Danio rerio: one gene and its partner. The protein of the gene in region 1 interacts with the protein of each later gene in a pairwise test. Links are inferred from orthologs where the notes say so. Each region holds a gene or a part of one and is shown in the gene's direction. Other genes may lie near its edges.

What was found. The genes of interacting proteins can lie anywhere in the genome.
Region 2: the proteins of nup50 (region 1) and kpna1 interact in binary tests that used the Homo sapiens proteins (3 or more experiments, as listed by UniProt). The two-hybrid records come from large-scale screens. The link is inferred for Danio rerio from reciprocal best matches to the Homo sapiens genes NUP50 and KPNA1.

Annotation. Positions count from the first base shown.
Region 1 is NC_133179.1:71,995,434-72,001,595, forward strand, and holds part of nup50 (nuclear pore complex protein Nup50), read left to right. Parts: intron 1-1,117; coding exon 1,118-1,198; intron 1,199-1,284; coding exon 1,285-1,477; intron 1,478-6,162. UniProt on the Homo sapiens protein: Component of the nuclear pore complex that has a direct role in nuclear protein import. Actively displaces NLSs from importin-alpha, and facilitates disassembly of the importin-alpha:beta-cargo complex and importin recycling.
Region 2 is NC_133199.1:24,832,654-24,839,408, reverse strand, and holds the start of kpna1 (importin subunit alpha-5), read left to right. Parts: upstream 1-2,469; 5' UTR 2,470-2,641; coding exon 2,642-2,804; intron 2,805-5,259; coding exon 5,260-5,396; intron 5,397-5,958; coding exon 5,959-6,072; intron 6,073-6,159; coding exon 6,160-6,259; intron 6,260-6,349; coding exon 6,350-6,444; intron 6,445-6,755. UniProt on the Homo sapiens protein: Functions in nuclear protein import as an adapter protein for nuclear receptor KPNB1. Binds specifically and directly to substrates containing either a simple or bipartite NLS motif.

The DNA of each region.
Region 1 (6,162 bases):
CCGAGCGCTTTGAAATGAGATGATCTAGCCTAAAGAGGACTCATCTAGCAAGCGTAAAAGCTGCAGTTACTAATAAAATTTGTTATGACTTTTTTTTTTTTTTTCAAAGTGATTTTAAAACTTATTCTAAAGGCAAAACAAGTTTATAAAAGCTGGGAATATGTTTCCTTTGATCCGTACATGTACACACAACGTTACTCGTTTGTAAGACATGTCGTACTCTTTTTGTTTTTTAACGTGTTTAGATAGATATCCATGTAAAATAAACCTAATTTAAACATTCGACCTCGTCGTCTGTCCACAAAAATACCTCTTGCTTTCTTTGCCATCGCGTTTAATGTTCAATCGGCGTTTGTTGACTAACAATAACCAAATGCCGAGCGAGACACATGCTTCCTGTTTATACTACAACGGGCATGACCAGAGTGCGCGAATGGTCACGTGATATACGTTTTTGGTGGCGTAGTGTGGACGGAGAAATGTTCAGAGATGCTAGTGTGGACGCGGATCGTTTTTGATCTAAAACGCCATTTTAAAACTAAAACGCACTAGTGTAAACGGGGCCTAAAACACCTTACCGTTTCAGTATTAGTGTTATATTATTAATGACATCCAGAATCAAGAACGTCTGTGCTCCACGTCTGACACCTTCAAACGCCACCTTCACTTCACTGCATGTCAGCATCGTCTTCTGAGGTCAGAAGTCATTTATTAAATGAAGAAAAGATTGACGCAGCCTCTCCAAACGCAGCAATTGACGTCTTTACTGTTGATATTTGGCGCCAGTTAATCAGAAAGTGACGATTTTGTTCGCTTTGACTCGTTGGATGGAAACGCTGCTTTATTCGCGCGTCTATAATCCAGTTTTGCGCATAAATTTAATTAGCATTTTCGGATCGAAACATAGCTAATGATGGACTAAAGTTTTGAGGCAGTGTGAAGAATTTTATTAATTAGATTTTGTGCAAAGATTTAAACATAATTAAACATATTAGCCTATTCTCTCAAGCGCTTTAAGTTTAAATATAATTTTTTGTGTAGATATTTGTGCTCCGTATTTACAAATCATGCTGTGCTTCTTGCCAATTTTAACCAGGGGTAATTATTGTCTCTTCAGGCAGGAACGTTTTCGATTGCGAGTGATGATGTGATGAAAAACCGCGCCATCAAGAAAGCCAAGCGGCGTAACGTTGCAGAGGTAAAACCCTTCCTGCATCCCAGCAGGCGCCCAGTTGTTTATTTAAAGCGATTATAGTTCACATCAATACTGCTGTTTTGTCGCAGGGAGAGAGTGGAGGGGCTTTCAAAGCGTTTAAGGGGTTTTCTCTGGCTCCAGCCACAGCGACGGCTTCGTTCTCTGGCTTCGGCAATGGTGCTGGCTTCAAACCCATGGCCAGCCTGACCAATGGCAGCGTGGCATCAGTGGCTCCGTCATTCACAGGTTTCAACGTTCCTGCATCTGCTAAAACTAACAGTGGTACGTTACTATCTCTTTCTAATTCACTTTTATGTACGTGTATGTATATTTAGTAGTGTTGGGGTACTCGAACTTGGACTCGGACTCGAGTCCAGTTTTCATTGGACTCGGACTTGTCACGGACTTGGGGAAACTTTTACTCGGACTTGACTCGGACTTGGACATTTTGGACTCGGAAAATATCACGAGTCCAGTCGAGTCCACATCATTCACAACACAAATAAAGATATTAAAAATGAATAAATAACAGCATGAAAGTATAACAAGAATTTAGCGATCTCTCTGGCTGCATGTCAGCTTTTATTTACGCCACCGCACCATACCAGCAGGCAGCATAAGCACGTCATCACCCTAAACGTGTAACCAGAAATAGCCATAATCACACAATGCGTGGCTAGGTTTCAGCAATAATTTGTCTTCTACCGACATGTTGAAAGAAAGCAAAGAAAGGTAAGAGCTTATTTACTTGAATTGTACATTCATATCGTAGGGATGATGTTAAAACATCTTGGCGATATTGTTTTGTTGTTTATATTGGTGTCAATATATCCGCAAATAACTGTGAGATTCAAAGTTTCACTCTTTGGCTCTGAGCCAGAGAAATATTCGTTCAGCGCTTGATTTAGGCCAGGGCTTCTCAAATCCGGACTCCGTAATATTCAAAGTTTTCCTGTGTGACTCTTGTAATGACATCCCCGCAATCATCCCGATTAATTTTCCAATTCTTCCCCCTTATGCTTAATCTTTCTATGAAAAGTGAAAGCACCGTCAACACAGCGATCTGAAATGCGATAGAACTGCAAGAGCTGTTCAAGAGAATTGTGCTTTCGCTTTATTTTGGCTTGAAAGCACGTTAAAATGAATATAAAAATGTCTGCATTCACTTCCATTAAAGATGTGCGTCGATCATCACATTTCTGAATCAGTGTAGCCTATACATGCTGACTGACGGACGCGTTCCGTATAATAAACTCATCCCAGATCCCAGATCAGCTTCTGCTTTTGAGGATAGGGTTAGGAGAGTATAAAGATTGTGTAAAATTACAGTAATTAAATGATGGAATAGCAAAAATGTTGTAATAATGTTGCTTGGAGTTGCATATTAAGTCAATATAAGCACAAATGAATTTAATGTAGAGTTATATTAAAATCCAGACAACATTCAGAATGGATAATCAGTGGACTAAGTCCACAAATTCAAGCAATAATTTAATCTTTTTAAAGATAAAATGAGGTTTGACTTTGAATTTGTGTAAAAATTAATATTCAGGTAATATTTTGATGAGAGACATTGGAGAGATTAGGGGTGCCTGTGTCCACAATGTGAGTCTTCTGTGTGAGAATAAACATCACTGATTGTGAGCAGCAGTATATATCTGCCATGTTGAATATGCAAGAGAGAATCTGATAATGACACATTTCTGATTCTATTTATATGTAGTCAATGACCGAGTGCAAGAATATGTGTATTGCACAATTAATCATCTCAAATGTTTCGTTTTAAAATAATTCAGAATTATGCATAGTTGTATGCTGATGTCATCATCACTGTCTTTTGAACAGAGGACCAGGACTATGACCTATATCCTCAAAAGCCCCCCACCCTCCATTTATTTATATATATATATATTTATATTATTTATATATATATATATATATATATATATATATATATATATATATATATATATATATATATATATATATATATATATATATATACATATATATATATATAATTATTATTATACAATTAATATTCTAAATAAATAACAGAAATGTGTCCTAAATGTAACTGGAACACAAAGACACAACAGGAGCGATGTATTAAGATAATTTGAGAAGTCTTTTGCAAGAATATTAATTTAATTCGACAATTCCATAAGATACAAAAAATATGTTTTATAGAATTATCTGTGGGCTGCACGGTAGCGCAGTGAGTAGCACTGTCGGCTTACAGCAAGAAGGTTGCTGGTTCGAGCTACGGCTTGGTCAGTTGATGTTTCTGTGTGGAGTTTGCATGTTCTATTCGTGTTGGCGTGGGTTTTCTCTGGGAGCTCCGGTTTTCCCCACAATCCAAAAACTATAGGTGAATTGATTAATTAAATTGGCCATAGCATATAAAGGGAAGGGCATCCGCTGTGTAAAACATGCTGGATAAGTTGGCGGTTCATTGCGCTGTGGCGACCCCTGATTAATAAAGGGACTAAGTCGAAAAGAAAATAAATAAATGAATGAATGAGAATTATATGTTGTCTTTTTAGACCTGAATTTATCTTGTATAAATCATTAGGCATGTTTTAGGCCTAATACCTGCCTGACTCTTCATCCTTCTTTTCTGCTTCATAGCATGTTTAGTTAAAATAAGATCAGCATCATATTGTTTTAATTTTTGTTTTGTCCAGTTGCAAAACTTACACGGGTTTCACAATGCATAATCGCTGCGTATTTTTTCGAGGTGTCCCAGAGTTGCAAAAACTTCTAAGTGTTTGGAATGTACACTTGCTTTATTAAAATGAAAGAATGTCCAAGACAAAGCTAATAAGTGTCTTATGAGTATATGTACACTAGCAGTGGAATTTACTGGAATTCACCTGAAATCTTGCCTAGGGCTCCAAATTGGTTAGGGCTGGGCCTAATCATGATCATGCTGGATAATCGTGTGTGCTCGCCTGTTTTAACACACTGCAGCAAAGCAATCATTTTAATGGAAGAAGATGTCAGTCTCACTGAAAAGAATTGATGAAGAGAATAGACAGTTCAAAGTTGAATGAACAGATAAGTATGTGTTTATTTTGCCCTAAGCCAGCTCGAATCAGTAACCTTCTTGCTGTGAGGCCATTGTGCTACCCACTGCGCCACCGTGCTGCATCTTATGGATGTTTATTAAAAACAAGTTATGTAATATCAATTGTTTAATTTCTTTGCTTTGACCTTAATAAAAAAAATTCAGATTTAGAACTTTTAATGTAGACATTGAGAACCCCTGTTTCAGGCTATCATTAACAGATAGACCCAGATCAAGAGCCTAGAAATCTGCACTGGACTATTTTTTCAGTCTGATTCCCACTGGGTTTTATTTTGCACCCAATCGCCCCCACTATTTAATCACTCTTTCTTTATTTAAAACAAAATCTTTCTGACTGTTAATTCCCTGTTAAGACAGTGGTGAAGCCGAATGGTCTCCCTTTGCTGAACCTTTTATGTTCTGTGCTGATCTGGGTCAGTTGGCATGAGTATGGTTTCATTTTCCACACTGGGGCTGATAACAGTTCTCTGTTATTTGATGTTTAATGTTAATAAAAATGCATTTTTGCCTTGGTAATGCAAGCGTATTTTAAACAAGAAATGTGAAAAAGTGGCATTAGAATAATGTCAATCGTGTGAGTCTTGTAAAATAATAAAAATTCGACATATATCCTCCTATTTTTATTTTAATTTGAAGCAAGCTAACAAAAAATACAAGTCATTTTGTAAAAATGTACAAAAAGTTTAAATTCTTCATTTAACAGTTTAATTGTTAATAGAAAAATATATTTGATTTATTATTATTGTTATTTTACATACGTGGTACCATGGCTCAATGCTTAGCACTGTTGCCGCACAGGGACTGGAGTCAGGAGTGTTTCTGTGTGGAGTTTGCATGTTCTCCGTGTGTTGGTGTGGGTTTCCTCCGGGTGCTTCGGTTTCCCTCACAGTCCAAACACATGCGCTATAGGGGAATTTAATTTACTAAAATGGCCGGGGTGTGTGAGTGTGAATGAGAGTGAATGGGTGAATGGTGGAAGGGCATCCACTGCGTAAAACATATGCTGGACTAGTTGGCAGTTCGTTCCGCTGTGGCAACCCCTGATAAATAAGGGACTAAGCCAAAAGAAAAAATAATAAATGAGTTTTAAGACTGTCTGGACTCGGCCGGACTCGGATGTTAAGGACTCGGACTTAAGTCCGACTCGACCCCTTTTGGACTCAGACTCGGACTTGTACTCGACTGGTTAAGGACTTGGTCTCGACTTGGACTCGACAAAGGTGGACTCGACCCCAACTCTAATATTTAGGAAGCAGCCCTTCTCATCACAGTAATTTGTTGTGTATTAGTACAGAAAACTACACTTAATTATCCATGAAGTAAGGGGTAAAGTACATTCAGGCGGTTGTTGACCGTTAACGAACACCTGACAATGCAACAGCTTCACACAAATGTATCGCATGTTCTTGCATTAATTAAAAGTTGAGCGTTTTAAAAATCGTATGTTGTATGCGTGACTGCAGTGCGCTGTGATTTGGCCTCATCTGCGCATTTGCGCTGTATCTCCTTCACTCGCCATGCTGAAACCCACAGAAACTCCCCACACACACACAGACACATGAGGAAATGTGATGTCAGCAACTGATTTACATACTTGGAGGTGATTGGAGAGGTCTTCGCATGTGCAATGCATGAGAAAGTGTACATGCATTCTAGCAGCACACTCCATTTCCGCATTACTGGATCTGTAGCGACAACAGACCGCAAGGGATGATGGTCAAGCATGGGCTGATGGGAATTGTAGTTTTCGCTACCTCCCGTTCGCTTCATTCGCCTGAGCAAATTTTCTCAGAAGACCTATAGTTTTACCGAGTCATGCGACTTCGGTAATATCGAAAAAATTAATATTGCGGTATGACGGTATTTACAATACCGT
Region 2 (6,755 bases), on another chromosome or scaffold:
TGTGGTTTGTCTGACAGCAGGTGTGATATTTAATATTTGAATATACACTGTAAATCCCAACTGTCAACGAGTGTTGAATGAGTTCATTAAATACCTCATTACTTTAACTTAAATGGAGTAAGTTCATAGTATTCATATAGATCAGTTTTTTAAATGAAATGGTTTGTTGCAATCGGTTTCTTCAAATTGTTTGAGTTCCCTTAACTTATTGGGTTTTACAGTGTGTGTGTGTGTGTGTGTGTGTGTGTGTGTGTGTGTGTGTGTGTGTGTGTGTGTATACATAAACTATATATATATATATATATATATATATATATATATATATATATATATAATTCTGACTTCAACTGTATATATTTTAAACTCTTTATTTTCATTGAAAAAAAAAATACATACACACAGTACCGCCTATATCCGTACAAGAAAGAGATGATCCATATCAAAAATCTCTTGGAAAGACTTTCACAGTGAATTTGGCTCACAACAAAAAGGAACTCAAAACCCTACATCCCACCCATCTAACATTGATCAAAATGTTTGTAGAAAGTTAGCAAAAAATAAAATAAAAGTCATGCATGAATAACATTTACAATCATATTATGGAACTGGCTAGGACAAAAAAATAAATACAATTGAAGCAATAGGTGTACATAGACAATTAGACCAAAAGATACATTCATTCATTTTCTTTTTGGCTTAGTCCCTATATTAATCAGGGGTCCCCACAACAGAATGAACCGCCAACTTTTCCAGCACATGTTTTAGGCAGCGGAGCACCAGGAGGAAACCCGCGCGAACACGGGGAGAACATGCAAACTCCACACAGAAAAGCCAACTGGCCTAGCTGGGGCTGGAACCAGCGACCTTTTTGCTGTGAGGCGATTACCAAAAGATAAATTCTAAAATAATTATAAGATAATTATAAAGTAAATAATGAAATTAAATAAACAAATAAATTACCATACAACAGTCTTGTAAAAGTCTATATCAGTTCAGTCTATCTAAAAAAATATTATGAATGGTTCCCAAATCTTGTTACAACTGGACAATCTGTCATTTAGTGTGAATCTCTGTTCTCCTAAGTGTAACATATTTCCAAGCTTTCTAGCCCACATTTCAAAGGTGGGGACAGTTTCAGATTTTCACATTTGTAAAATGAGTTTTTTTAAATAATATTATCTTCGTATATTACCTTTTTTATGTAAGACTTAAAAGGAGAAAAACACTGAAAGCATCATATGGTGCGGATGAAAAGATTAAATGTTGCCAGATTTTGATGGAAAAACATGCCTACAAAAACACTTATACAAAAATACAAAAACAACATTCAAAGTGACTCAATAAAAACAAAAAGAGAGTAATAAACCAACATTGTTAAATAATTTTACAAAAGGAGTGATTATGTAAGAATAAAGGAAAAGTGATATGATGATAATACATGAACAAAAGGATTTACTGTATTTATAAATTACTGTTCACATATATTTCTTTATACAAATAATAAAAATACATATGTGTATATGATGGAGGCGCAGTGGGTAGCGATGTCACCTCACAGCAAGAAGGTTCGAGGTCAGTTGGCATTTCTGTGTTGGCATATTGCTGCGTAAGTTGGCAGTTTATTCTGCTGTGGTGACCCTGATTAAGAAAGAGACTAAGCTGAAAAGAAAACGAATGAATGTGTATATGATAACAATTCATTCAGCCATGGCACATTGGCTGAGGCTAGCATGGTTGCCTCACCACAAGAAGGTTGCTTGTTTGAGTTGCTATTTCTGTGTGGCTATTTCTGTGTTTGCTCGAGTTTTCCCCAGGTGCTCCGGTTTCCCCCACAGTCCAAAGATGTAGGTGAAGTTATAGGCAAACTGAATCAACTAAATTGGCTAAATGTGTGTGAATGGGAGAGTCTGTGGTTGTTTCCCAGCATTGAGTGTTGTACTTTCAGTGCTAAGTTGCAGCTGGAAAGGCATACAGCCATCCACTGTGTAAAACAACTGAGTAAACAAATAAGTAAGATGAGATGTAGATATTCAATTTAAATTATATATGATTGGCCTATACAAAATAAATAGATAAAAATGACGTTCATATGAATAAATAAATGTACTTAATAATAATAATAAAATATTATTATTATTTTCATTCATTTATCCATTCATTTTCTTTCTGGCTTAAAAAAAAACATACTCACACTCATTCACACACACACACACTCATACACTGCGGACAACTTAACCTACCAAATTCACCTGTACCGCATGTCTTTGGACTGTGGAGGAAACTGGAGCACCTAGAGGAAACCCACGCAAACGCAGGGAGAACATGCAAACTCCACACAGAAACACCAACTGACCAAGCTGAGGCTTGAACCAGCGACCCAGCAACCTTCTTGCTGTGAGGCGAAAGCAATTATTATTATTATTAATAATCATAAAAATAATAATAATAATAGATTTATCAGGAGTCACCACAGCGAAATGAACTGCCAATTATTTTGGCATATGCTTTATGATTTGTATGAATGCTACAAAATGAGTTATGTGATATAAAAGGTATCTACATAGATAATTTATTATAAGCTATGTATTTGTTTTTAAATATATGTATATAAGCTTATAATGTTTACTTATAAAGCGCGGAGATGGCAACACTGTTCGTTACACAGAACTGGCAACACCGAGAAGCAGACATGCGCTTCGCACACGATGTCCTCTCACAATGCGCATGTGCAGTGTCACTATACCGGCGGAGGCTGAACGGTTGCAGCTTAAACGACGCAGGGATAAACGAGGCCGTTTTGACAGGTCAGTACGCCAGTGTGGATAACTTGTGTCTGTCTGGTTTTATTCCGTCTACATGATGTCAAATTCAAAAGATTATAATGTTAAAACACAGATAAAAGGCGTTAGTCGGACAACCTTGTTGGCTGGGTTAGCAGATAAGCTAACAGAGGCTGCTGCGCAGATCTGGGAGGGGGAGGCGAGTCCGCTGTTAAGACGATATTACTAACAAACCTGCTCTTCAGTCGATGATCACTAGCTCGTGTGGAGCAAAAATGACATTTTGTTAACTTGAATCGATCGTTTCCGCTTCTGTGATGCGATGATCGGTGAGATTGGTGCGTTTGGCGGCTGTTTTTAGGTGTGGATGGTTTGATGGGTCGATCCTCTTCACTGCGGGCTCTAGCACCACTGCCCAAAACACACTGACAGATCCATGCAGCCTCTGTTTTATATTGTTTTTAGTAGTTTGAGACTAAATGTCACAGGTACACTGGCTAGAGATAAATAAATAATAAATGTTATCGTCCGTGGTGGTTGTTTAGCTCAAGCTTTGCGTTTAATCCTTATCTTTTATGAAATATTTTTATCAAAAATAGTGTCAAAGCATTTAGAAATTTGCCTGACATGTTGAAAACCGTCTGATAAACAAACAAAATAAAATCATAGACTAAATTTATAAATAGAAAAAATATATATAGTTTAGAAAAAAAAAGTCTTAACAAACATTTTTACCATGATTTAAAGAAGACACCAAACTGTTTACATGCCAGAAATCATGTCAGACACATTTAAAGCAGTAGTCTTTTGACGATGTATTAGAAGACTGTATGTAAGGATAACAGTGCAGTCCTAAAATAGAAAACATTGCCACAACTACTACTAATAAATAAGAAACATAAATAGTTTGAAGATATTGGGCCAAAGCACCACTGTTGAACAGGGTAGAAATAGCTAAACCAGTGAATAATAATTAATACATATCACCATACTTCCTCAATATTGTTAATTGTTTTATGATCCATTAGGTGTCTGAAATGTTCAGGTTTCATATTAAAGCAAGGTCCTGTCGAACTCAAAATGGGCTGATGTACTTAAATTTAAACATACAATTTTGAGCACTGGTTAATTTTTGTTTCATATTATTGGCATATGCAAAAGGGATTTTGAATGTCTTATTTTATCACTCTGTTGATAAAGTATGTTTGTCAGATTTCACCATATTAGCATAAAATTTAGAAATAAAAGGTTTTGTGGGCATCTTTCAATGACATAATAAAACCCAATTTAAGGATTACAGTGAAGCAAAAAATAATAATTCATTTACATTTCAAACTTTTTTCTTTCTTTTTTACAGATTTATCAGCAAGACAATTGTAATAATTTAAAATAGAATAATGTTAGTATTAGGGCTGCACAATATATCGTTTCGATCAATATTGCAATGTGATCATTCGCAATAGTCATATCGCAGGATATGCAATGTTGTTGTAGTTTGTATTAAAATGTATCATTTGCACATGTTTTGTTTATGCCTGTGATTGTATAATGTCTTCAAAAGCATTCAGCTATAAGAAATTGCACAATTTGTGACCTTAACTACGATTATTTTTATTGAAGTTTGTTGATTGTATTAATAGATTGTTATGAATAAAAATACTCACAAGTGCATATACAGAAATGCACTGCAAATAGCACAGACCACAACAAAAATGTGTCTGGGTAGGTACCCTAAAAATGTAAAGATTGTTTATTTGATTTTATAGGGATGCAAATAGTAAAAATTAATTCATCATTAATACTCACAACACAGCACATGCAAATACAGAAATTGTTTATACAGAAACTGTTTATATGCTCTCCCACTACAGAATCATCCCAATCGATCTAACATTATAAATTCTTGACAAAAATAAAGATATTAAGTCATCTGGGAAAATTTCATTTATATGGCAAAATCAAAAAAATATTGCATTGTTAGATTTTTCCAATATTGTGCATATATATATATATATATATATATATATATATATATATATATATATATATATATATATATATATATATATTTAATTGTGAATAATATAAAAGTAATGTGAAGAAAAAGCTAAAAACTTGAAATGAAATTAAAAGAAAATTCAATGTATTTATTTTCTAAATGCATCTTATGTTCCTAATTGTGAATAGTTAATCTCTGGATAGGTTTCTCTTAAAATGTTTACTTTTCTCAATGTTATTTAACAAGGTATATTAAAATGTCATAACAGGACCTTTCAGTAAGGTTGCTGTCAGATTAGTTTTGTCACTAATGCAGGATGTAAAAATTTGTGTGTATGTGTGTCTCCACTGCCTATGGAAACAAGTGACATTAAATGATCTTTTCAAGAGGTCTGTGATCTAGCAGAGATCAAGCAAGTATTTTAATAAGTCTTGATGATTTTTCTATTGTGCTCATCTTGCTTTGATCGTCTCTTTACAGCAGACAACATCATGAGTCAAGGGAAGGACAATGCACGTCTCAAAAGCTATAAAAACAAATCGCTCAACACAGATGAGATGAGGAGGAGGAGGGAGGAAGAAGGCCTGCAACTTCGAAAACAAAAGAAAGATGAACAAGTAAGTCAAGTGGAGATAAGAGTGACTTGTTTTTCTGTTTTATTTGACTCTTGTGGTTTTACTAATAAAGATATTATTAAACTAGCCTTAAATTTATAGGAAGGATGGAATGAACTTTGAGACAATATAATGAAAAGAAATTTTTGTCTTTTTGAAAAAAAGTTTCTCACCAATCTGAATTTGTTTGATTAAAATTTATAAAAGTGTATTGTATATAGTGTAAAGTATTATATTCACTATTAACTATTACTGGGCTAGCATAAAATCATATTGTATCATATTTTTGTCATATTTAATGTTTTTAAATATTTTATTATTATTATTATTATTATTATTAGAAAAGTACATTCTACTGGACAACAATATTTCTGTTTCAATTTCATCAATTGAAGCTTTCATTTTGAAGAGTCGTGAAGATGCATGAGTGCTTGATTGTAAATAAAAAAATAAAATATATATTGAAAAATAAAATATATTTAAATAAAATTGCAAGTAAAGTGCACTCTTAAGAGAAGCTTTGGGGATAAAGTTTCAACTTTGACAAATTTGAACGTTCTTATAGCTGTTCAAGCGCAGAAATGTGGCCACAGTGGAGGAGGATGGAGCACTGGAAGATGATGGGATGTCTGACAGCGGATACCTGGAATCACAGGCCAACAATATGGACCAAATCACGGTAGTACAGCAAAAATGAAGGCTAGTCTTAGCTTTTTACTTACTGATGAAAAATTAATTGCCTTTTTTTGTTTTTCCATCGTTAAAGGGAAGTGTTATTTCTGAAGACATGATACAGATGATCTTCTCCAGCTCTCCAGAACAACAGCTCATAGGAACACAGCGCTTCAGAAAGCTCTTATCTAAAGGTGAAATACCCCAAAGACTAAAAATCAAGCATTTACATAATCAAATTAGTGCTAAATTATGCTAATTCTGTCTTTGTAACCCTCCATTAGAGCCTAATCCCCCTATTGATGAGGTTATTGCCACCCCTGGTGTCGTGGAGCGATTTGTTGAGTTCCTGAAAAGAAGAGAGAACTGCACACTACAGGTGATGGATATTTAAGGAATATTAAAATCCCAAGAGATTTTATATATTTCTTTTCTTTGGAAATATTAAAACAGTATGTTGCATCAAGAGAGAAAGACACATTATTTATGTAAGGTATTAAAAAGACAGCAGCCTAAGAAAGAAAATAAAAACTCTTTTGGAACTGTTCTGACTTTTGTTTTGTGAACTGAATCGTTTTCATTCCAAGAGCATGTAAAAAAAGTCAAAAACTCATTGCTGATGAGAAGGGGAGGTTTCATATCTTTAAATTTATGTAGAATTTATTTGATCTATTTAGAATCTCCGTGTTT